2 linked regions of the Oreochromis niloticus genome follow. The protein of the gene in region 1 purifies or fractionates together with the protein of each later gene. This does not show direct contact. Links are inferred from orthologs where the notes say so. Each region holds a gene or a part of one and is shown in the gene's direction. Other genes may lie near its edges.

Region 1 (12,838 bases):
TCATTTCACACTCCAGAGACGTTATTGTGTTCTCACCTCCACTTTTGCCAATCTGTCTGTAGCATTTCCAGAATACTCGAATGAAGGATGCTCTGTTATGTGGAGTGGCCTGGATGTAGTTAAACTCTCTGAAGAGGACGTGGTTGCTGTTCTTTACACTGCTGAAACTACAGAGACATTACAAACCCAGATATATTATATATTTCACACACACACACACACACACACACAAATTTACTCGATTTCTCTCTGTGATTAATAAAGTCTCTCTGACTCTGATATGTCTATATAAATAACTTTCTCTCGGGACAAGGAAGGGAAGCTGCGCTTGCCTTATCAAAGCTCCCCACCTGCCACCTTGTGACCACAGGGAGTTAGAATTGCTGCAGCTCTCTCTGGTTTGAGGGCGTGTCCATCTCCTGGCCAGCAGCTTTTTTTTCTGGTTGTTTTGTGCATGTGCACTGTGGATAAATTGCTAGTCTTTAACGGTAAACTGATGGGAGACCAGTGTGAGAAACAAGCTGCCGTTGGCTCGGCTTTCACTGCTCTGACACCAGTAATAAACTGTGCTTTGTATGGAAACACGGGCACCATTACCCTGTAAATTAGCTTCAGTCAGATTCAACATAACGGATGAGTTTCTTCTTGGTAACCACCTTGGCCAACATGTGTAATGTAGAGAATATGGTGTGAGAAAAAGTTTTTATTAACTTCTTTAGTACTGTGACAATAATCAAGATGGGATAGTAGCTCAGACCATGTCTGCTCTAATAAAACAGGCGAGTTAACCAGGCATAGACTCAGCAGCGTTTTCAGATTAACATCTATAAGATTTCCCGAATGTAGATTTTTTTCATTAATATGTTTAATTCCCCAATAGATGTATGCACAAGCTTTTCAATTCAACTGTTTTTATTATTAATGTATTTTAATACACTTTAAAAAAAATCATGATGAAGGACTGTGAAACTGAGCTCTTAAACAACAATTTCTTTTTTAGAGATTAGATTTTTCAGAGATATGCGATGCTCACACAACAGCCACACATATGATGAATATGATTAATATGATACTGTACATTAGGGCTGCAGCTATCGATGATTTCGGTAATTGAATAATGTATCGATTATTCCATCCATTAATCAAGTAATCAGATAAGTTACTTATTCCGATCTCCGTGTTCCAGATGTTCAATCTACAGATTCACCATTTTCACAGACTTTTCCTGTCTGTGTGTCACTGTGGAATGCAGGATTAAAGACCTGAGGGGGGGGGGCTCCATCTCCAGCTCGTGCAAATGCATGTAAGTATCAATATGATCTTCAGACAACAATGAAATGAAGATAGTATTGATACGTATAGCTTGTGCATTTGCGCGAGTTGGAGATGATAATCCTTTTAAACCGTATGACACACCATTCCTTGAACATGACGAAGTAACAACAAGAACACGGTGAGTCGAATAAGTAAACAAATCTAACTAGTTAACGTAAGAACCTGTTAACCTGAAGCACCGGAGCTGCAGTCTCACTGTTTCAACAACTGTGTGGAACCTACTATTCAGCGAAGTAGCGAATCACTCCGAACTGGTTGTATTCCTCTTTGTGTTCTAGCAGCTGGATCACAGCATCATTCAGGTAGAACAGCACATTGCTGTCCGCTGGAACACAGACACACACACAGATTATAAAGTTAGCCTAGGCGCTAACTGACACAGCTAACAACACACGACCTACCGAGATACTGGTCAGCGGGAACCGTGGGGTTCAAACGGTTCATTCTGCTCTTCCCAGAGAAACCCACTGAGACGAGACTTAATAAATACGCAGCTATAATCGGTGAACAGTGCAGCTATTTACTGTACGTACACTGTGTTCTTATTACTCGGAATTATGTTAGCTAGCTGTCGTGAGCTGGTGGACTTCCATGGAAACCGCCGGATGTTGTGAGTTACATTAATCAGAGCCCCTCGAACAATACTACTTACAAAGATTCCCCTTTGAAAGCAAATGTTTTACAGAGCTTTCAGAATAAAAACTGAGAAAAATTGGAACTTGTATTTTGAATTTACAGTTACAGAAAAATATTCACAAATGTGTAGATTGATATTCTCACAAATAGAATAAAATAGAATAGATCTTTATTGTCACTGTTACAAGAACAATGAAACACAGTTTGGCATCTCTCTCTCTCTCTGTGTGTGTGTGTGTGTGTGTGTGTGTGTGTGTGGATAGATAGATAGATAGATAGATAGATAAAATGAATAAGTGAGTGATCAGAGCAGTATAAGGTGCAATGTGGTCAGTGGTATTGCGCATTAAGTAAGGAATAGGAATGCTGGTTGCTACTATAATAAATACAGTTATATAAATAGAGAATGTTGGTTGCATTATAGTATAATAAATATGGTTCATAAATACAGTGTAAATGTCCATGGATTTTAACAGCACAGTTAACCTTCAATCAGGGTGAGGGTAGGGCATGTTTGACAGCCTTGATCTTGACATTGAGTCTGTTTGTCTTTGACCTGATCGACCTGTAGCGTTTACAGTAAGGAAGGAGAAAAAAAAGTGAGTGTCCAGGGTGCAAGGGGTCCTTGATGATGATACTGGCTTTCCACTGAAGTCTGCTGGTATAAATGTCTCTGAGGGGGGTTAGCGAAGTGCCAATTGCCTGCTCTGCCGCCCTCACCACCTGCTGCAGTTTTCTCTTGTCCTCCACAGTACAGCAGTTGAACCAGAGTGTGCAGCAATAGGTCAGAAGACTCTCGGTGGTGGAGCGGTAGAAGTAAATTAGAAGTCTGGAGTAATTGCATCTGCTACAGCTTCCTGAGAAAGTACAGCCTTTGTTGTGCTTTTCCTACCTGCTGGGAAATGTTTTTAGACCAGGTAAGGTTTTTACCGAGATGTGGACCCTGAGGAACTTGAAGCTGCATCAATGTAGAGGGCGGAGTGCTCAGATCGCCTTGTTCTCCTGAAGTCAATTACCATCTCCTTAGTCTTGGCTGTGTTCAGATGTAGGTTGTTGTTGTCACACCATCGCTTCAGATGCTGAACCACCTCTCTGTAGGCTGAATCACTCTATGTAATCACCCAATCAGTCCTATGTAGGTGGTGTCATCAGCAAATACACTGTGAGCTGCAAACTTCTCATTTAAATTTTACTTAAAGTAATTAATTAATTAATTTTTGTACTGCTTACAACCACATCTCCGTGATTACAACCTCTTAAATCAGTGAATACAAGCACTCGACTGTTCCCTCTCAAGTCAGATCATTATTCTGCAATTTTGCAACACTTCTTGGGAGAAAAGCATTTCAAAACTTGCACTTGTAACTGAAGGGGGATAAAAAGGGGTGTTGGTGGTGGTGGAGGGAAGGTATGGGGGGGCGGGTAACGGCAGTAGAGGTCAGCCAATCAGAAGGCCTCTGTCCTCTTTTCACCATGTTGGATTCGCAACTACAAAGCACTGAGCCTGGTTTCCTTCAAAACTTTGTTTAGTACATTAGCACTGTGGTTGATTAGGAAATTAACACAGACACAGCAGTCCCCCATTCCTCATTAGGAGCAGCAGCAAAAACCAGAGTGAATGATCATTTTAGCTAACGGCACTAGTTAACTAGCTACCCAGCGTACACTGATCAGTAATACACTGTTATAACAGTTCTAATCCTTTTTAACAGACCTGAATGTTGCAGCTGCATAACACACTGTTGATGACGACTGTGATCTGTTATCTTTGTACCAGAATAAAGAGGGAACCCAGAGTATGAGCAAGTCCAGTGTCTCAGTGCCATCCTTTCTGCAAAGGCTTATGAAGTCACATCCACCACAGATTCTCAGGACCACAACAGCTATACCAGCAGTATCTTCTCACTCAGTTTATCCCACTGTTGGCAGTAAAAGAGGACTTAGTTCATCTCTGAGCCCTCACTCTGAACCACAGCACTTTTCGCAGGGACATCAGTACATCACACTTTAAATCACACTAAACTAGTCTTCCTCAGTACTTTCATGCTGACTTACCCATATTTATTATGCTAAAAGGAAGCAGTACCAAGTTCATACCAACACTTACAAGTTTACAAGTTCATAATAAATCCCTGAACTCAACAGATAAAGCTGCCTCTGCTGTCCTTTTTTTGTTCTTTTGATTGATTGGTCATTTTGTTTTGGTTAGTCTGTCCAGCAGTAAAGGCCGTTATGAATGATTGAGAATGAGTCTTGTAAGGGCGGACTAATCTCTTTCTTGTTTTTTCGTTTATTTGTTTGTGCCACTTCCCTTAAAGAACCCAGGTTGTAGGTCATACATAGCGCTGATTCCCAGCTAGGCTGTTTGCAGTGCGTGCCCACAAGTAAATTGATTGCGATTTCTCTAAAACTGGGTGTGACAGTTTTCAGTGTAGTGCTATTTGCCTGCACCTTTGGTTTGATAGGTCTCATGTGCAGCTGGGATATTACTAGAATTTATTTCTTTGGCATTTCATTCGACACCTTAGTGCTTGGTTATATAAATGTTTAAAGTAGATCATCTTTAGTTATTTCGATTCAGAAACAACACAGAATTATAAGTCAAATGTCTCCTATGTGTGTTGTCCGTTATCCGTGGCTGTACTATCCATGGAAAAAGACAAACTCTCTATACTTAAATGTTTCATAAACATTCTTTAAGATACTAAAATTCAACTCAAATTAGAGAGGCTGGGATTTGGTCACTTCGTACAGCCAACAACAATATTAGAGCACTTTTCAGCCCAAATTGATTTTGGGGCAGTCAGTTTTGTCTTATCAAGCCACTCATACCTGGAATACAATACCCTCAGAAATAAAGAATATATAACATTCTTTATTTCTTTTTCTAAATTTGTGAAATAGTGATTATTGGATAATCAAACATGTTGTCATGACATAATGCCCTTGAAAGTCCGATTCTAATGTTTTGGGGGATTTTTTGTAAGTGATCATAGTGTTTGATCTTTAATAATGGTATAAGGACATGTGTTTATGTCACAAGTGTTTCTGTATTTTACTTATGTTCACACGCTTCAAAATGTTTGGTTTGTTGATTTATTTAATATGCCATTAACCTGCCAGGGTTTATGAAAATGAGTCTGTGGGTAAATCTGGCATATTTACATGATGAATTTAAGTGCTCACGTTAATTAATAAGTGTTATCCCTTTTAAATAAACACAAACATTTACAAATTGTATTGATGATCACAGCCATCACTAAAAAATTAAACTGTGCATGGCCCTTGGTGTGCTATGTCCAGCTGATATTGAAATGTGTGTACTCATGTAATTAAAACATATGAACAAATGAAAAGAAATTATCTCTACTCTTATTGTTGTCAACAACAGCAACAACCCACAATGAACGGGTCTTGACAAGGTAGGGATCCCCGACACAGTTAGGTTCCCCTGTGTCGGGAGCATGCGCTGGCCTGTCCAAATCACGGACAAACAGTATCCGTCATTCTTGATTTTTAGTTTGCAAACATTTCTTATAATGACTTGTTACTACTGAAATTTTGGAGGTTTTAGCTTTTTATACAATCAAATTACAGGAGGATACATATTACCAGGCATAATGTCGTCGGTTTGTTGAAATAATCCCGTCCGATAATATGTGAGAACAACAAATGTATCATTTCTGTTGTAACCCACAAACTGAACGGTAATTTAACGACACCCATCTTTTACTTTCTCACTAAACTAAAACGTCACGACTTCCACGTCTGTTTAGTTTGAATGGAGGCGGAGTCAACTGGATCCGGTTTCCCTGCCCAGCGCGTCCTCCAGATGCAGGGGAAACTAATTCCTTCAGATATACCTACCTTTACCTACCTTGACACGACACAATCATTTTATGGTGGCCATCAAATTCTGCACTGAGCTTTGGAGAGAGTTTTATATATCCTTTATTTACCCGGATTAAAAGTGTCGTTGACATTAAAAATGTGTCTTTCGAGAGGGCCAAGAGGGCAGCAGAAATTGTAACAAACATAACATAACAGTTCTATAAACTTACTTAAAGTGACCAAAACGCACTGCATTGATGACAATATGGGTACAAATACGCAGAGTCATAAAGATACTTCAACAACAGGCTATTTCTTTCTTCTATATATAACCCAATCATAAATCATGTTCACTACTGTCTATGTACTAATATGAGTAAAAATATTCGACCGTAAAAGACACATAAAAACATCGGAAATCGGTTTTTGGTATATCTCCAAAAGTTGAATCTGTTCATCTGGACGTAGCGTTTTGTGGGAGAAACGTTTCTCCCACAAAACGCTACGTCCAGATGAACAGATTCAACTTTTGGAGATTTACTTTCCTGGATGATTGAGAATGCATCAAGAGGTTTTTGGTATAACATCGCTCATCCCAAACTGCACATAACTAAAGTTTAAAGGGCGTGCACGAAACAAACAAGTAGTGTTTACATAGACAATAGTAGTTTTGAGATAGACTTAATTTCAGAGTAGCCAATGAAATCTCTTCTGAGAAAGCAATGCACGCGTTGTTCCAATCAGCTAAGGAAATTCACACATTGAAGGCGGAGCATATTTCAAACGCAACCAATCTCTCTCCACATCTGTCTCCGTCTAGTGAAAAACAAGGAAGCCCATTAGATGAATAAGTAGTCACGTAAGTAAAATGTCACTGTATGAATGTAGCATTTTGTTTGTGTGCTGCTTCTTCTCTGTCCATGACAGGTTGCTTATGCAGTCGGACTAAATATTAAAAGTGATTCAGTACTGGAGTGACGTCGTTGGGGTGGTGTCCCGCTCTCCGCCCCGCCTCTGTCTGTCCGGCTCTGGAGAAATTTGAAAAAGCTGAAAGAAGTTGGACGTATTTATCGAAATCGGAAGTGGGCGTTCATTTGCGTTTAAAATAAGAGTTCAACACACGCATATTTCACAGACAGAAAAACAAATATTTTCACATCCCAGCCCAGAAATACTTTTTCGAAGTTTTTCTTTTAACGAATACGCAATTTATGTAAATTATATTTAAAATTTGTATTAGATAGGAAACGGCCCAACTGTCTGTTTTATTTTGTACCGGAACAGTGTTGAATCTCCTTCGAGGCAGAGAAGCACTTGTATAAAACTCGACTGGACCCGCAACAGTGATCACTATCATCCTCATCGAATTGGAGAAGCAGCATCGTAATTTTTAACAGCCGCAAACAGGTATTATGTTAAAGATTATTAATATTATTATTATTTTAAGCAACTACAAATCATGTTTGAATCGGAGCTAGTTGTGATGTAATGTGTGTAGCTGCGAACTGCGCTGTTAGGCCTGGTTATGTTGGCGCGGATGGAAGGTTAGCTTGTAGCCTTGTTTCTAATCAGCTAACAGCTATTATCAACCACCAGTAAATTAACGGCGAGGTTTGACTTTGAAAATAACTTATGCATAATACAATTTTGCACGACATGTTTAGCAATGTTTATTTGTCATTAGCGATAGCCGTGTGTGTTGATGCGGGTTGGACCAGAATGAGCGGTTAACGGGGTAACGTAGCAACTGTCACTGTTGTTGCTAAGTTAGCTAGTTAATGGCCCTCAGTAACTAACGTTAGTAACTAACGATTGCTAGTTATGTTATGCTGGCCACTCCCATACAAACCGGGAAAGCAAACAATCAGTGAAATGGGTAATTGACGGCACGGTTGATAACCAAAGTGATTGTAACCAGACCGAAAAGCAGCTGGTTGGGTGTATTTAAGGGGGAATCTAGTTGATAAAGGTTAGCTGTGCTCATTTGGTTGTATTTTAGTTTAAGTTCTGTAATACTGAGAGCTAGAGGTGTAGTGCTGCTTTTTTTGAGTAGGAGAGCTCACTGATCACATGTGTTGAGTTGTAATTTGTTTCTAAGGCTATTTCACTAAAGTCACAAATTTACATTACTCAGATATACCTGAGAAAAGTAATCAAATGTGAGACTGAATTTAAGAACATCATCAGTTTTTACATGCTGTTTACGGCTGTCTCCTTCGTGGATGTCTTCTCTTTTTCCATTCTTTCCTGTTGGGTAGTTGTCAACTCTTTCTCTAACTCATCTCTCTCCCTCACCTATTCTCTGTGTTTTGGATCTTCTACCTTTCACAACATTAAGCTCCTTTTCCATTAGTACCAACTTGGATCGACTTGCCACGGTTTTTAGGGCTTTCCATTAGGTCATAGTACCTGCTCGGCTGGGGTTCCAAGTGATTTGAGCAGGTACTAAAATGTGACGTCAGACTGCATGCCACTGATTGTCTGGTCAGTGGCATCACTCGAGTCATGAGACAGTCTCATTCACGAAAATCAAAACTGCCGTTTTTGAAACCTGGCAACAAGGGAAATGGCTACAAAAAACAATGCCATGGTCCCAGAGTCCGATGAAAAGCTACAGACTGAGCAGCAGGTATGTTCTTGCCTTGAACTCCATCTTTGCTGTAGTGTTCCTGTCGCATACCAATTACATCACTGGACACTGGCTATGACGACAACCACGCACATTAGATGGTACTTGATTGCAAACCAGTTGATCTGAGTCGAGTTGATCCAAGTTGGTGCTAAAGGTAAAGGAGCTTTAAAGTCAGATTTATAGATTTATCCAGCAGCTTAATTGGATTAATTGATTCATCCAGAGGAGACCTGCTTTATATCAAGCTCTTCCACTGTTTAAACCTAGAATGTTTTACACCTGACTTGTACGATGTGCATAACACAAAACGTTATTTACTGTCAGATCCTGACACATCCCTGTATTGAATTTAGAAGGCAACTGTGTCTCACATGCTCAAGTGTGCCATTGCCCTTGTTTTTTCTTGTATGCCAGTGTCTGGTATATTAAAGTCAGCATGAATATAGCAACTCCATTAAAGTGGTTTGTGGTTTTCATCAGCCAGATTGTGCTACAGTAAAGCAGTCTTTCAGCATTAAAAAGCTACTGTTGGGATTTAAGAAAGTGGTGCTAAGTGGTTTGGACTGAAAAATGTGGAAACGGGAGATATTTTATTTGGTTGGCCTTGTTGCATATGTATTTATATGAATTTCCCTTTAACAGGACACATTTTTTTTTTTTTTTCAGAGAACAGTTACTAAATAGATTATACAAAGATGATTAATTAGGATTTTTGCATTCAGTTTCATTGTAAATGTAACAGTGATATTTTGGTGGTGGAATTTGTGATGGTTGGAATGAGAGGAGGAAATGTTGTCAGAGTGCCCAAGTGTCACCAGTGGATGCCTCAAAGCTAGCAAAGGTTTTAGCCATATACTCACATTGTTAAAACTTTGGCTATATACTGTACAGAATATGATTTTGTGTCTCGGCAAAGGCTGTGAATTTAGAGAGGGAGCAGTCAGAACTGAAGCAACTGTACTACCAGAAGGAAATGGCTACAGCATTAGAGACAATGAGGGCAGCTACAATGACCTCTGAATCCCACAGCCAAATAGGAATTGTGAAGAGGCTGCTAGGAAAGCCACAATCACCAAATATCTGCAGAGAGTAAAGCAAGTCCTAAGGAGTCAGCTGAATGGGAAGAACAAGATCTAGGCAATCAACACCTACGCTCTGCCAGTGATTAGACACCCCACTCGGATAATAAGCTGGTCAAAGGAGGAGATGGACGCCACTGACATCAAGACAATGAAGCTCCTTACAATGCATGGAGAGTTTCACCTCAAATCCAGTAGCCCGAAGGCCTTTTCACATAGGCTCTGAAACCCATTAATTTCTATTGCATGTGCCGCATGCACGATAACGGTTTCCTGCTGAATTAAGCAAAGTACAGCGTAATCGTGTCAGCAAGGAGTTCTTGCACAGCATCTGTGCTGTGACATACCTTTGCATCACCAATAGAAATGAAGCCAACAGCCACGCTAAGTTCAACCACTTGATGAGCAAAAACATTAGTGCATATCAGAGTTCAGTGAACTTTTTGACAAAACTTTATGTGTGTATGTAGAGACCTCCAGAGCATTTGAATAAGCCATTCCTTTCAACAGTTCTGGAGACCTCGGGAGAAAAGCAGTGTTGTGGAAATGACTGTGTCGAGTATGGCCTGGAAGTCATGATGTTAAACTGGGACATGCTCCTTAGGGTTGTTGAGAATGACCGAGCTAAGATCCTGTGGGACTTCCAAATACAGACAAACTGGTGTTGGCTAACCAACCGGACATAATATTTGTGGACAAACAGAGCAAGGCAACTGTAATTGATGTCGCTATATTAAGTGAATGCAACAAAGGATCATGAGAAGCTTGAAAAAAGTACCACGAGCTGAGAGAAGAGCTTGAGAAGATGTGAAGGCAACAGTGCTCCCAGTGGTAATCAGCGCAATGACCCCAAGCTGGACAAGTGTCTCCAGCAGATCCCAGGAACAACACCCAGGATCTCTGTCCAGAGGAGCGCAGTCCTAGGAACAGCAATGATGCTACGCAGGACCCTCAAGATTCCAGGACTTGGGTAGAGGACCCAAGCTTGAAAGGGGACATGAAATGCTACACATATAAAGCCTAACTTGCATCATAGAGCCCAGCTCTCAAAAACGGACAAATCTAACACTGTCTGTGAAGCTGGATTTAAGAAATAAGTTTAAAAAACATGTTTAGCGCCATCTTCTCTCAGTGTACATTACGTCAGCAGGTTGTTTGTTTGGTGTAGGCTTGCATTAGTTAGTTATATGTTCTGTCATTAGTTGGATAACAGCGTGGAAAGCAAGGGGACTAAAACTAAAAATCTGTTTAATGGGATCACTTTTGTGCTGCCCCTGGATATAACAATGTTAAAACAAAGGATATACGGTCCACTTTGACTGTCTGGCTGTCTTGGCTTTCCCAACTCAGCTTTTCAAAAATTTGCATTTGTTCAAGTGTGATCAGTGATCAGTCAAAGTCAGTTTGCAGCTGTTGGCACAAAGGTGAGATGCGCCCTCCAGTTCATAGTACCCCCAGAGTATTTTCATTTATTCAATAAAATATTCACATTTGTTGTCCCTGTATCGACATATCGCCACACAAAATAATACAGTATTTTTAATATTGTAATAATTTAATCTTTGTTTTTGTTTTGTTTTTTTGTGTGTTCTATGTGGTTTTTCTCCTCTCTCTCTTTCGAACCCTAGTATTTACCTGGATAAGCCAAAATCCTGCTTGGTAGTCCAGGGCTCAGGACTTAAGAAACCAATGAATCATGCCATGGTAGCTAAGCCAAGTTAACAAAAAGTCAGAGCTCTGTTGAGTCATCATTCTCTTAACCTTAACTAGTAATGACTTCATGAATTTCTTAACAGCAGGGACGTTGTAAGTTAACTTTGAGAATCATTTAATGAAAAATGTCAATAACTAATAAAAGCATTTTGAACCGTTTATTGTATTCTTGAATAATGGATCATGCAGCTTAACTGTGCATGCATCATGCATTATCAACATTAAAATCTAGAGAGAGCCCATCTACCTTTCAGAGAAAGCTCATTTCCAACCTTCCTTTTTATCTAAAAAATTCTTGAAAGTGTAGTTGCAAAATGGCTAACTGATCACTTGCAGAGGAATGGTTTATTTGAAGAGTTTCAGTCAGTTTTCAGAGCTCATCACACTACAGAAACCATATTAGTGAAGGTTCCAAATTATTTTCTTGTTGCATCTGACAGTGGGCTCATCTCTGTGCTTGTCCTGCTAGACCTCAGTGAAGCATTTCATACAGCTGACTATTATTTTATTACAGTAATTAGAGCATGCTGTAGTTATTAAAGATACTGCTCTGTAGTGGTGTGAATCACATCTATCTAATAGACTCCAATTTGTTCATGTAAATGGAGAGTCCTCTTCACACACTTAGGTTATTGAAGGAGTTCCACAAGATTCTGTGTTAGGACCAATTAAACTTAAACTATGCATGCTTCCCCTTAGCATTAGATGGCATAGCATACATTTTCCATGATTTGGTACTATATAAATAAAATTGAAATTAAATTGAATCTCTGGGCGTTTCCCAGTGGAGTTTGGTGCTTCATCTAGCCAAAGAAATAACTTTACGCTATGTACATTCACTTCTTAACCCAAAACCAAGTGCCTCAACTGATCTGGACCATGATAATGGTGTCTGTTTGGGCGTGACCTCAATTGCTACATTAATTATCAATGGGCAAATGTACTACAAGTCTCTTTTTCCCAACTTTAGTAGCTATCAAATGACACTTTCCATTAGCTGTCATTAGTATAGAACACTACGCTGTACTTACTCCTCCTCCTCCTTTCCTTTTTGTTTTTCTTTCTCAGAATCCTGCTACATCTCTTTCTAATTGTTGACTGTACAGTGGGAAGATAAGGCGATCGAACTGTAGAACATCATCCACTCTAGATACATTAGCAGATGGTCATAATACATTTTTAACCAGTTGCTTAAAGCCTCACTTTCCCACTATGTACCACATTGTTTCTGAACCACTGTTTGCTTTTTCTGTCATATGGACTTCAACTAAGATGTTCAGCTGAGTCATTTGTTTACTTTTTGCTTTTTGGAGGTTGCTAAAATAGGCCCTGCCCCACCCCACCTCCTTTTCTTAATATATTTATTTTTTAATAAAGGTATTAAATTGTAATTGGAGGCTGACTGGCTATTGTTGTCAGACATGCCCAGGCTTGTCTTGTGTGTGCAAAGGAAAGTAAACACATGGCATTGGTATAGTATAGATTAGGGCTGTGTGATATGACCAAAATCTCATATCCCGATATAAGACATTTATCGTCCTGACAACGATATAAATCACAAAAATTTAACATTTTTCTGTAAATTCTGTGAATCTTGGGCAGCTCGACTTGT
Region 2 (11,971 bases), on another chromosome or scaffold:
CTTTGAAACTTGTCAGTACAAAGTCTTATGGAGTCTTTCCATTTTAGAAATATCCTTTTACAATGGCCAGCCACTCCCCAACGACTGGTATTATCCAGCCTTATCCTTATTGTTTGTGTTACTGGGTTACCAGATTTTCTCCTCTAGTCTTGCACAAATTTTCTTTTTGGAGTGAAAAATAAATCTCATCTTCCATAAAAATTCTCTCCACGGAGCAGAACTGTAGGTGCTGGCACTTGTTTTACACATATTTAACCAATCTGTTTCCATCATTGTAATATTTGCTTCCATCAGACCTTAATGTATCATAGAATGTGTCTTAAGGGATTGCAAGCTGATTCTTGTTTTATAAAGTTGTTAAAGATGTATGCTGTGTAATTACTCCACCCTGGAAAAAGAACAGTTCAGAGAAATCATTAAAGTCATAAATTACCATTACATTCATGCCCATGATAAGTGTGTGAGTGCAAGCATCCCAGGGAACATGTTGTTTTTCTTGAGAAGCCAGGGGTATTTGTGTATTGTATGCCATCTTGTTTATCTGTTGCACTTTAAATGTGTAAATTTTGCATGGCTCCTGCTATGAGCAGTGCCATGTTACTTCCTGGTTAAATAAAGATAAATAAACAAATAAACCTAACACACAGACCTACCTGAACTCAGCTTTACCATACATTTATCACAGCACAGACAGTTTGTGACAGGTCAGATTAAACTCTAGTGTTATTTTAGTTTTTTGCATCCAGCTATTTCTAGAAGTCTTTCTCCTGAGCTTATAACAAAGTGTCAGACAGCAGCAGAATCATGCATTCTTTTACTCATCTGACACAACTCCCATGGCTTAAATAAATAACAAATCATTCCTAACATGGAGACGGGATGTAACAGCAAATAACATTGTGTATATCACTGTCTAAGTCACACGTTAAGCACTATAATAAGCTGCCGTGCTGTAGCTCATGTCTAATAAGCAAAATAAGTGTGTATCTGTATAGGCTGTGACATCTGTAATTTTTAAAATAACCTACTACTGAAACTCTGACATCATTAGATGTTACTTTTAGTACTCTCACAACTCACAGGATAGGTGTGAGTACTGTGTGCCATCCTCTCAGTGCTGTGAAATGATCCAAATCAAGGCTTCAGGTAAATTATGTAAAAGGGGCTTTTTGTCCAGTAGGCAGAATACTGTCAGTTTAACAGATTGGTAAAGCCATCAATGTTTTGTCTCCCATGTCTGAAAACGGCTTAAGAAGCGTTAAGGTATAAGACTTCCTGTGAAGTTGAAAATTATGTTTTTTGGGTTTTGTTTTTTTTTTTTTAATTTAATTTAATTTCTATTACAGGGATTGAAGAAGCTTGGACAGTCCATTGAGTCTTCCTATTCCAGCATCCAGAAGCTAGTAATAAGCCACCTGCAGAGGTATTTTGTCTTTTACTTTTCATCATGGCTGTCCTACCCTCTGACTGGTTGTCATTTTAAATCTGTCTCTCTCTTTTGGTGGCTGCAGTGGCTCAGAGGCTCTGTTGTATCACCTCAGTGAGGTGAAAGGAATGGCCCTGTGGAAACAAAAGTTTGAGCCCCTCGGCTTGGATGCAGCAGCTATAGAAGGTGCATTTCAGGACATGCGCAATGATTTAAAACAGGGGTTTTTTTCAGTAGTCACATGTGTGTATTTTATTTTATCTTATGTTATTTTAGGCGCTATCACAGCAGTTGGATCCTTTTCCCTGAAAGCAAATGAACTTCTGCAGTAAGTTCAGGACCGTAATCGAGTAATGTTAATGTTTTTTAGAATTAGTATAATATAACTTTTTTGTCATTTAGGGTGATTGACAAGAGTATGAAAAACTTTAAGGCCTTTTTCCGTTGGCTGTATGTAGGTAAGAAATAAAAAAAAGAAAAGAATTGTTGATCTTGAAACATTTAAAATAATTAATGTGCATGTAAGGTCTTATTCATAGATTTGAAATTACTGTTTATATGCTCACACACTTTTTGCTTTCCCACAGCAATGCTCAGAATGTGTGAGGAGCATGTGCCACCAGAACTCAATAAGGTGAGCTTTATTTTTTTATTTAATAAATGTTTACTAGAAGCAGTTAACAAACCAACAACTAGAAACTGACAAACCATTCCTCCTGTTCTACGTATGGTAATCTACATCCCAGCAAATGAAATGCACAAATTCATATATGGAAAATAATGTTAGAAATAATGTTATTATGATTTAAGTGTTCATGGGATTATTTTAACATCCATTATTTATCATAACATGTTGTTTAACTCCTTAGATGACTCAGAAGGACATTGCCTTTGTTGCTGACTTCTTGTCTGAGCATTTTAGTGAGGTGAGATCAGCATAATAGCAAAAGCATGCTAATAAGTTTAAAGACTTTTTTAAACTTTTTAACTGAATGTGGTTTAACAGAATGAGGAACTCTTCGGTCGTAAAGGGAAGTACTTCAACGTAGAACGAGTTGGACAGGTAAATGGTTTTGTAATGTTTACCTTTAGCTGGTCTTTTTTTTGTTTGTTTGTTTATTTGTTTGTTTTTAATGGAACTCCTGCATGACCGCATAGTGGTTTGTCTTTCCTAATAACATTTACAGTACCTGAAGGACGAAGATGAGGACCTTGTGTCTCCACCCAACACAAAGGGGAACCAGTGGTTGAAGTTTTTACAGGACAGCACACACCTGAAAGGTGAATTATCACCTTTGTGCGTTTTGGAGTTGGGTTAAATTTTTTGTTTGGCGTGAAACTACTTTAATGTTGAATGTACTCAAAATACCTGTTAGTCACCTGATTAAATGTTTTGTTGGTTTATTTAGGGAGCCCTTTGCTGTTTCCTTCATATCCCCAAAAGTCTTTGCACTTTGTCAAGAGGATGATGGAGAATGTGATTGAGAATTGTCTACAGAAACCTGCAGTAAGTTTTGTGCACTGTAGATTTCTGCAGTCATTCAAAATATAACGCTGGCTGGCAATGTTGTGTCCTCTCTCCTCTTAACTTTTTTGTTTCTTTGTGTGTAGGAAGTAATTGGAAAGTCGGTAAAACAAGCCATCTTTTTGCCCTTGTACAACGTGCCAGAGAGGTATAATCCTATGTGTAAAATCTGTTGTATTTTAAATATGAGCCATACACTGAGACTAAATTTGTATTTACTTGTTTTTTAGCTCTGAAAACACTCCTCGGCTTTTTGAACTTCCATCTTTGTATGTAAAACACAAACATCCTACAGTTCTTTGTTGTTTTTTTTATCTGTAAAATCAAGATGGGGTTTTAATTAATGTTATTCATTTGTCAACCTATAGGTGGAATGACAAAAAGGCCAAAATGCATTATGTTGTGTTTTGCATGCCAGAGATTTCACCCCACAAACTCTACCTGTTACGCAGAGGAACTGACCCAAACAGGTACATTTCTGTAATTCAGTAAGTACTTTTTAGATATTTGATTTTCATTTCTAACCTCATTTTTTATATTTGTGCAGACCTATCCCAAACAGTGTCATGTCGATTAATCTCACCCATCACCTTGACAGTGGGGATAATGGAAATGCTGCAGACCAGTGAGTCACGCTTATGTTGTTCCTTTACTGTATTAACAGATATAAGCGCAAAGAAATGTCTCACCTGAAGAGAGGTGTTTGTGCAAGGCCAAAAGATTTTAAGGTGTGTTTTGGTTTTTTTTGTCAGGTCTCATTATGTTTACAGCTACCTGGATGCTCGTTTTTATGACGATGAAATGCTAACTGTGGTCTTACAAGGATCTGAAGAATTCAACGCCAGGCGTGTCCTTGCTCAAATTCCAATTTCTTCCAGCTTAAGCTGTGAGACAGAATTCAACTGGGAGCCAAACCTGAGGTTTGTGTTCATGCAATATTTTGATTGATCTTCATTAAATAATTATAAATCTTTTTCTGACATCTAAAAAAAAAACAAATACAGATACACAGGTACATGACACATACATCATCAACGCAAACACACTAAGAACACCAGCAGGTCCCATCCAGGTGCAGTCTGGACTCTCTCTCGCTTCCCAAATTAGAACTTAAATGGCCCACCTCAAATATAAAGCACCCCACTTTTATTTGAAGTAAGGAAAAAGTGGATGTACTAATAATTTTGTTACAGTTTACTCTACAAAAGTAGTGCCAACATTCCTTTCTGAACATTGCCTCGACATCCTTCCATTGTTTTATTTTTATTAAATAATTTTTTAAATTGTATAATAAATTACATAAATTCATTCACCAAAACTGAAGAACAAACTTCTTGGTCTATATCACATTACAAGCCACGATATTATTAAGATAACCCATGAAAATGCTCTAAAAAGTACCAACAGTACACACACAGTGAAGTGGTCCAGTTTAATGACCAACAAAGCAGCTGAGGCATGCGAGACACTGATCGGGTCCTGCTGTTTTTTGTCAGGACACTTGTCAAAGTTGCCATACCTGCAATGCCATGATTCTATGAATGACTCATAAACAAAAATTCACCCCACGCCTCGAAAATAGTCCAGTGCTCATAGTTTGATAATCTTGATAATCACATTGCTCTCAAACCATAACTAGTTTTTGCCAATGACATAGCATTGCTGGTAGTCACAACCATGTTTGTTGTGTTTATCTAATTAAACTACTAATTTTATGGTGCTGAACCTCAAATGTGTGTATATATATATATATATCTTATATCACTTATAAACTACTCACATGTTTACAGATTATTAAGTACTATTTTATTAAATCTGTTGGAGCTACTTAAATGTAAATGTAGTTGGTTTATGACATGTTGTAAAACTAAAACTAACTTTAAAGTGCGCATCTAACCTTTGCATATATTTACAGGCTGGACCAACAGAGCAGTTCCATCCCGTCCCAAGGCCTGGTGTTGGGTAATCAGTGGCGTGAGCTGGAAAACATGAAAGCCCAGTTTGTAGCTGTTAATGGAATCCGCAAAGTGGCCTGTGTGGTAAGACTTTACATTATATTTAGTTTATGTGGATTTTGTTTCACGATATCATGAATCATCTGCACTGCTGTGCTTTTCAGTGATCAGTCTAATGTCGTTTAAGCCATTTTCAGTCTTCTCATGTTTCTCCGGCAGTGGGGGAATTCCAGTGAATGAATATTGTGGACTGTGGCCAAACATTTACTTTTTCTTTCCCGGCAGCTAAGTACCAATCTGAGGCACATACGTGTTTTTGAGATGGATGTGGAAGATGAGGATGAGGAGGGAGCTGACTCACAAAATGCCAGTGCTGATCAGGAAGGGCTGGAAGCTACCATGAGCAGCCAGGGACAAGGAGAGGAGGAGAATTTGGAGGCTGAAGGTGGGGCTGGAGAGCAGGAAGAGGGAGAAGGTGTTTTTCAAAAATCTGAGGAGCACCTGGAATCAGAGGAGGCCCTGGATCTCCCCTGAGGCTGAGAAGCTATCTCCAATAAATTAATCTACAGCTTTCGTTTTTTTTGTTACTTACGTTTTGCTGTTATTGTTGTAGTTTTTCACAGCATTTGTAAAAAATAAATAAATAAATGAAGATGTAAAAATAAAGCTACATTCTCATGTTTGTTTTATCTTCACTAGGATTTTTTTAATGGGGTCCCACCGGAAGGGACTGTGGCACAGAAAGCATTATTTAAAAATATTTGGATCCTTTTTTTAAATAAAGTTCTCAATTATACCTTAATAATAATACTATAAAGGTTTTGTCATCAGATTATCAGAAGATGAAGCCTAGTATTTCATTTTACACTGCTATGCAAAAGTCTTTAATAATCCCTTGCAAGACCTTGTAATTTTTAGATTTTTAGTCATTTACAAATTCAGCAAAAGTTCTGAAGGCCTTTGGCTGCTTTTTCACTCAAAGAAAATGTCCAAACATTTAATCTGTTCCCATTTATTTAGCTGATACTGTGAAAAAGGCCAAAAATGACAGTTTGACAAGCATAAAATGTAAATTTATCTTGGCATAGTGTGCAGTGTGTCCTTCAAAAATCTGAGGATACTCCATAATTGGAGGGTAACAGAAGCAGCAGGCCTAAAAAGCGATCTACATCTGATCAGCAAGTTAATTTTTTCAGAATTATTAGATTTTTGAACTCCGTATCCCAGTAGTTATAAATGTATAAGACTGTACCCAGGCGGTTAGTTGTAAATATGTAGTAAATCACAAATAAACATCCAAAATCCTGCGTTTAGGAGTTCATTCATATGTTACAATGTGGTTTCTGTAGCCAAATTTTCGATCCATATCTATAACGGTGTAGTTATATGTGCACGCGCAAATAGGTGTTGGTTACGTGGTCGCTCCCGATATACAACGTGGTGACGTGTGTTCTCCGCCGCCTGTTGGTCTTTCACAGTTGGTGACGAGTATTATGAAAATGGCCTCAACCCGACCCGTGAGCACGAATAACCGGAGAAGATGACGACGCTGAGCTTTTCAAGTCGGTTGAACACCAAAGTGTCTTCTTTGAACACCCATATAGCAGTGAAGTAAACAAAAACAAAGGGACTCTCGGCGAAGAAACGCCTAAAAATACCCCCGACCACCGCATATTTTCGTAGGGCTGAGAGGAGCCACTATGGAGGATATCAACTCTAATATCAACGCGGACTTGGAGGTGCGGAAGCTCCAGGACTTGGTGAAGAAACTCGAACAACAAAACGAGCAGCTCCGGAGCAGGTCTACGATGTTGTCTTCGTCCGGACCGATGTCAGGGAACCACAGACCCCTGAGCGCCGGATACGACTCGTCGTCCCTGTCAGCAGGGATGGCAGCCGGTCTGGCCGGCTTCCCTGGGGTGGGGTTCGCTGGAACGGGCGGCTACGGTGGGCTGTTGGAGAACAACCGCTGTTTAAACCCCAGACTTTCTTATGACGGCATCAGTTTCAGGAGGGCGTATGAGGGTGAGGGGGCATCTGCTGCCACCTCTTTATCGAGTATGAACTCACTTTATTCAGACACTAGCAGGGGCTTCACGGATGAAGGGGAAACCTCAATCCTAGATGAAGTGGAAATCTTAGATCTGGAAGACATGGACTGTCTAAACGAAGACGAGGACAGCTGGTGAGTCAAAGCTTGTCTTGGGAGGTAACTTGCCTGCTCGGCCGTGTTTTTGTCTTCGGGGCTGGGTGACAGCTTTAAATGCCTGGTCACAGCTGCTATGCACATTAGCTGCCACCACAAACGCCTGGCATGAACAATCATTTCAGTAGCTTGTCTGAAATCTGAAGTCATCCCGACTGAAGGAGCCTTATTGTGGATTACTGACTGCAGGATGTTGTTTGGCAAGTCATATGGGCGATCCCAAGGCACTTCTGTGACTGTCTGAATATAAAAGACAGGCTTTGTCTTACAGTCGTTGTCAGACCGCTCTCCATTCTTTCCGTGCTTAGAGTTTGTTCATTAGTTTCAGAGATAGATCAGCAGGCCTGTGGCAATAGGCTCTCAGCTGACTGGGGTTTGAAATCATCAGTTCCTTGGTGTTGTGATGTGACAGATTGCTTGGCTTGTCGTGTCAGTGTTGTACGGTAAAAAAATCAAAGTTGTTTTCCTGCCCAGCAGCCATGTGGGAGAGGTAGCCATGGTTATATTCCTCTTCTGAAATCCCTTTAGCACAGCAGTTGGCACACAGCTACAAGTGCTCTGCAGCACCAAGTGAGAGATGTGAAATGGGACAGTTATCTCATCATCATGGAGAAATAAACGTTATGCCAGGGTCCTAGAGATGATTACAAGAATTGCATTAACAGGGGTTATAAACGGAAACTGTTAATCTTATACACAAGAGAGTGTCTTGTGTATAAAATTAGCATTAGGCAAGGGTTGTAGCAGTTCCCTCAAACCAAGGTGTTGTGCATGTCTTGATGTTTTGTCATTAAAGGGACAAACAAAAAAGGGAAAATGTTTTTACCACAGGCCAGATCATTAGATTGTGATTGCATCATGAACAAAAAGCAAGCTTCATTAGTCTGATGTATTTCCTGTAACCTCTAAGATCTTTACATGTACTTTTTGTAATTTCCCCCCAAAATAGAGATATCAGGGGTTAGTATTTTAAAAGTGAGTGTATTTATACAATTTTAGTTGAAATTTGCTTTTTAAATTTTTATATTTCTCTTTAGATGCACCTATTGCTAATCCACCAGTTGTAATTAGGTCTTTCTAATAGTATTCATTTTAAAGCCAGACTTGGAATGCATAAAACTGATATTCATACAAGCTAAAAAAAAGCAACAAAACCAACTATTCTATTTTAGGCCATTACAGCCAAGTTTGACAAGGAATCCATGTTTCTTTGAAAGTAGTTGCCCTTGAAGAGATACCAAATCATACAAGAGGTTGTATTACACTGCAAAAATGTAATTAACGTGAAACTTTTTGGATTGTAACATTACAGGCTAAAAATCTTTAAAAAAATATGACTTTCACTGTACTCACCAGACAGTGACAGCAACACTTTAACATTTACAGTAGAGGAAGATAGAACTAATACAATATTGTTGTTCTGCTTGTTAACTCCTATGTATTTCAATATAATTTCCCGCTAGATTGTGCCCATGCAATTTAACCAAGCACTGCACATTTCTGCCCTTAAATGGCTTTAGAAAAGAAGTGCAGCCCGTCAAACTCCAGACTAAATTGGATTTGACTGTTTTTGTACTTCCAAGACCATCATTGTTGACTGGATGAGAATATAATGATGGCCCTTTTCTTCAGGAAATGGTTATCTATCTTATTAGGACGGGCTTATATGCATTGCTTCTGCTATGGTAATGATATTGTAGTAGGCAACACGAGGGCGTAACTCTTAATGCGTCTTAATAGCAGTTTTTAAAAGCTGCTACAATCAGGGCATATCATCTGTTTTGAAGTTGAACATGCGCCAAGTGCTCTTACATTTTTAGAACACTCCTAACACAGACACTGTTTCTTCAAGGGAGGATAAACGTGAATCCTGTTAATCAGTTTGCATTTTTTGTAATTATTATTTGAGCTAACTCAGCTTTTACTGTCTTGCTTGCAGCTGCATGCCCATGCCAGCTACTGAGCCCTCGGCATCAGACTACTTGCAGACATTGCTTGCTCATGCCCAGCCAAGCTAGTCTCATTATGCCCTGGCTGTTTGTCCATCCTCTGGATTAGATTGATATCTGGGATTAGCCTATAGTGCCTAGCTTTTGCCAGCTCCTGTCACAGACTCCTGTAATCCCATGAATTAGCATCAGAGTGGATTTAAAAAGGCTGCCTGCTCCTGCAGCACTCGGCCTATCAATAGATGCCCGTTGCGCTCCTGTTTCTGCATGCGCATGACACATATCATTGTTTCAGATGTAGTTTTACATTGCACTGTACCACATGTGAATGGCTGTCATTGTGTTGATAAACAATGACAATGTGCAGTGCCGATTTAAGGCCGGTATTTCTCTGCTCTTGCTTTGCCTGTAATGTTTCTGCTTTCATCTTGAAAGGCTTCCTCAATGGCTGCAACAGTGCTGACAGCTGCTGACTCAGATTTCTCCTCTGAGTGGAAACTCAACTCTTCTCTTCTCTTCTCTTCTCTTCTCTTCTCTTCTCTTCTCTTCTCTTCTCTTCTCTTCTCTTCATAAACATTTGTATTGCTTTTATAAATGGGGAACACAATTAAATTCAATTTTGATGAGTGAAAACATGTTTAGACTGTTAGAAGTTGAAACCATATAAATTTTGCAGCCACTGAAAGTGCCACAGTCACAATTCATTTGCTCCAATGCACTTTTTGACCTCATCTTAATATGGAAATGAGGCGAGGCTGATAGCTTATCAGCTATCTCAGGTAAAGCTGTATGTACTTCAGTGTTATTTCTTTTCCAATGATCTTGTTAGGTTAGCTTATTTAGGCATGTTCTATACTTTTGCAATCAAAAGTAACATAAATTTTGTCATTTTTCAGTTCAGCAACTTAATGAAGCCTTAGTTCTCTGTCTATGACTGTATTTCTTGCTGTTATGGATTCAAACATCAAAATGACATCACAAATGTTATTTGTAAGCAGAAATTATGTCGTGGTAAACAAATGTCTTTCTTTACATTCAGTAAAGCTGTAGTTAACTCAGTGTGTCACATGTGTGTAGAAATGGTGGGTGTAGCCACCATGACATCATCCAGTGGTTCTGGACTCTGCATTTTGAAGATTCATTGTTAGTGTTTTGGCTGCTCCTATTTTGGTTTTTGCAGCCAGAAGTTACCATATGTGGACATAGGATGCAGCGCTAAGTTATGAGCTAATGCCAGATAGATTTGTTAGCAAGCTGCAAAAACTTGTATGGGTGCAGTGAATGGAAACAGATACCTGGTAACTGGTGCCAGGTAATGGTCTAAAAAAAATACCAGAATTTTATTCATCAAAACTGGAGCCTAAACTTCTAAGCACCTAGCAGTCACTGACCAGCTCCAGTGGCCTGTCAACACCTCTCACCCAAAGCAGTCACACACCCCAAAAAAACCCCAAACATTTTTGTACCAGGCTATAAATATGGTTTTTAATGCTGCTGAACATTTTAACACTAGAACGTGTGGGAATTGACCAATTAAAGAGCTACTTTTTTAGGCACTTTAACTTAATCTTCTAGCTCTGGAGGTTGCTCGGGTAAAATTATCTGCCTGCAGCATCAACTTTAGAAAACAAAAAAAAATTCCCACATTTTGTTTTTCGCTGGCTTGTCAGTTTGCATATGAGGTGTCATTGTGTCTCTCTGTTCAGTTTGGTGTGTGCACTTGGTTCTGCAGAGCAACTAGGTGTGTGAGTGTGAAGTGATTTTCAGGCTGTATTTTCCCTGCAAGCCTTGAGTTTAACTTGAAGCCATATTAAAAGTGTTTGACTATTTAAATGAGTACATATGATTAAGTATTGATATTTATGGTCTTTTCAGATTTTTTTTTTTCTTTAAGACTGTTCATTCTTAAAATTTCTTAAAACTCAACACATGCAACATAAATAAAAGGGTATTTACTATATTTTTAGGGGCTCAAGATTTTAAATATTTATGTCTGAAATAAATTAGCATTAAGACAAATGCCGCACAAGATTTTTTTCTTTTATTTTCACTAAGAAAGCATAAATTCCTTCCTGCCTCTCCACATCATCCACTAAAAGGCAGCACTTTGTAATAAAACCAGGTCCAAATTAGCAGCTTGTTATCCTTTCAATAACATTTCATTTTCAAGCTGTTGAGTCACATCATATATGAGGTGTGATCTGTCGGTCATTATTAGAGGAGAAAAATAACTTGCTGTTGATATTTTTTTAGGTTATATGAGGCAAAGCTGAACAGTCCCCTGCAAAAAGCCTTGAGTCCTATCGTGTGGTGCCGCCAAGCTCTGGACAATCCGAGTCCCGAGATGGAATCAGCCAAGCGCTCCCTCATCCACAGACTGGACCTCACCATGTCAGGTAAACAGGAGCATAGTTGTAATTGTTTGAACTGTAATTACAATACCAATGCACTTAATTTATCTTTCTTTTGGTATGTTAGAGGTCAGAAACAAATAATATGTGTACCAGACTATGTTATCTGGATCATTGGGCTTCTCTATTAGTGTCTGTATTGAGATATGTTCATTTGTGTCCACAATTGTCTGGCTGGCCTTCGAACAAACATGATACATTCGAGCTGAAGAGAACCAAAAAGCCATCTATGCAGAATGTGCTTTCTTACTTTTTTCCAATCACTGAACCAGCTCTTCTGCTAGTGCTTGCATCTGTTTTTTGGGTTGCTGATTTATGTTAAAAATAGGGATGGGAATCAAGAACCGGTTCTTGTAGAGAACCAGTTCCCAGTAGTTCAATTCCTTGGAATTGTTGGTCTGCCTGTTTATTGATGCCGCTTATTGGTTTCACTTACACTTGTGCTACAATTAGCTGATTTCAGTTCATGTGTTGGAAGAGGAATGTAGTAACTCAGTCT

Evidence for each region.
Region 2: the proteins of ckap5 (region 1) and slain2 purify together in Homo sapiens (affinity purification with mass spectrometry; 4 studies listed by BioGRID and IntAct, counting the BioPlex papers as one, with this or other methods). This does not show direct contact. The link is inferred for Oreochromis niloticus from reciprocal best matches to the Homo sapiens genes CKAP5 and SLAIN2.

What each region holds. Positions count from the first base shown.
Region 1 is NC_031972.2:38,738,613-38,751,450, reverse strand, and holds the start of ckap5 (cytoskeleton-associated protein 5), read left to right. Parts: upstream 1-6,881; 5' UTR 6,882-7,209; intron 7,210-12,838. Other genes in the region: cstpp1 (centriolar satellite-associated tubulin polyglutamylase complex regulator 1), read right to left, coding at 37-167, 1,558-1,660, 1,737-1,779. UniProt on the Homo sapiens protein: Binds to the plus end of microtubules and regulates microtubule dynamics and microtubule organization. Acts as a processive microtubule polymerase. Promotes cytoplasmic microtubule nucleation and elongation. Plays a major role in organizing spindle poles.
Region 2 is NC_031986.2:37,133,904-37,145,874, forward strand, and holds the start of slain2 (SLAIN motif-containing protein 2), read left to right. Parts: upstream 1-6,343; 5' UTR 6,344-6,606; coding exon 6,607-7,091; intron 7,092-11,314; coding exon 11,315-11,457; intron 11,458-11,971. Other genes in the region: anapc4 (anaphase-promoting complex subunit 4), read left to right, coding at 1,347-1,423, 1,512-1,612, 1,703-1,754, 1,829-1,884, 2,014-2,060, 2,296-2,352, 2,433-2,489, 2,614-2,707 and 8 more.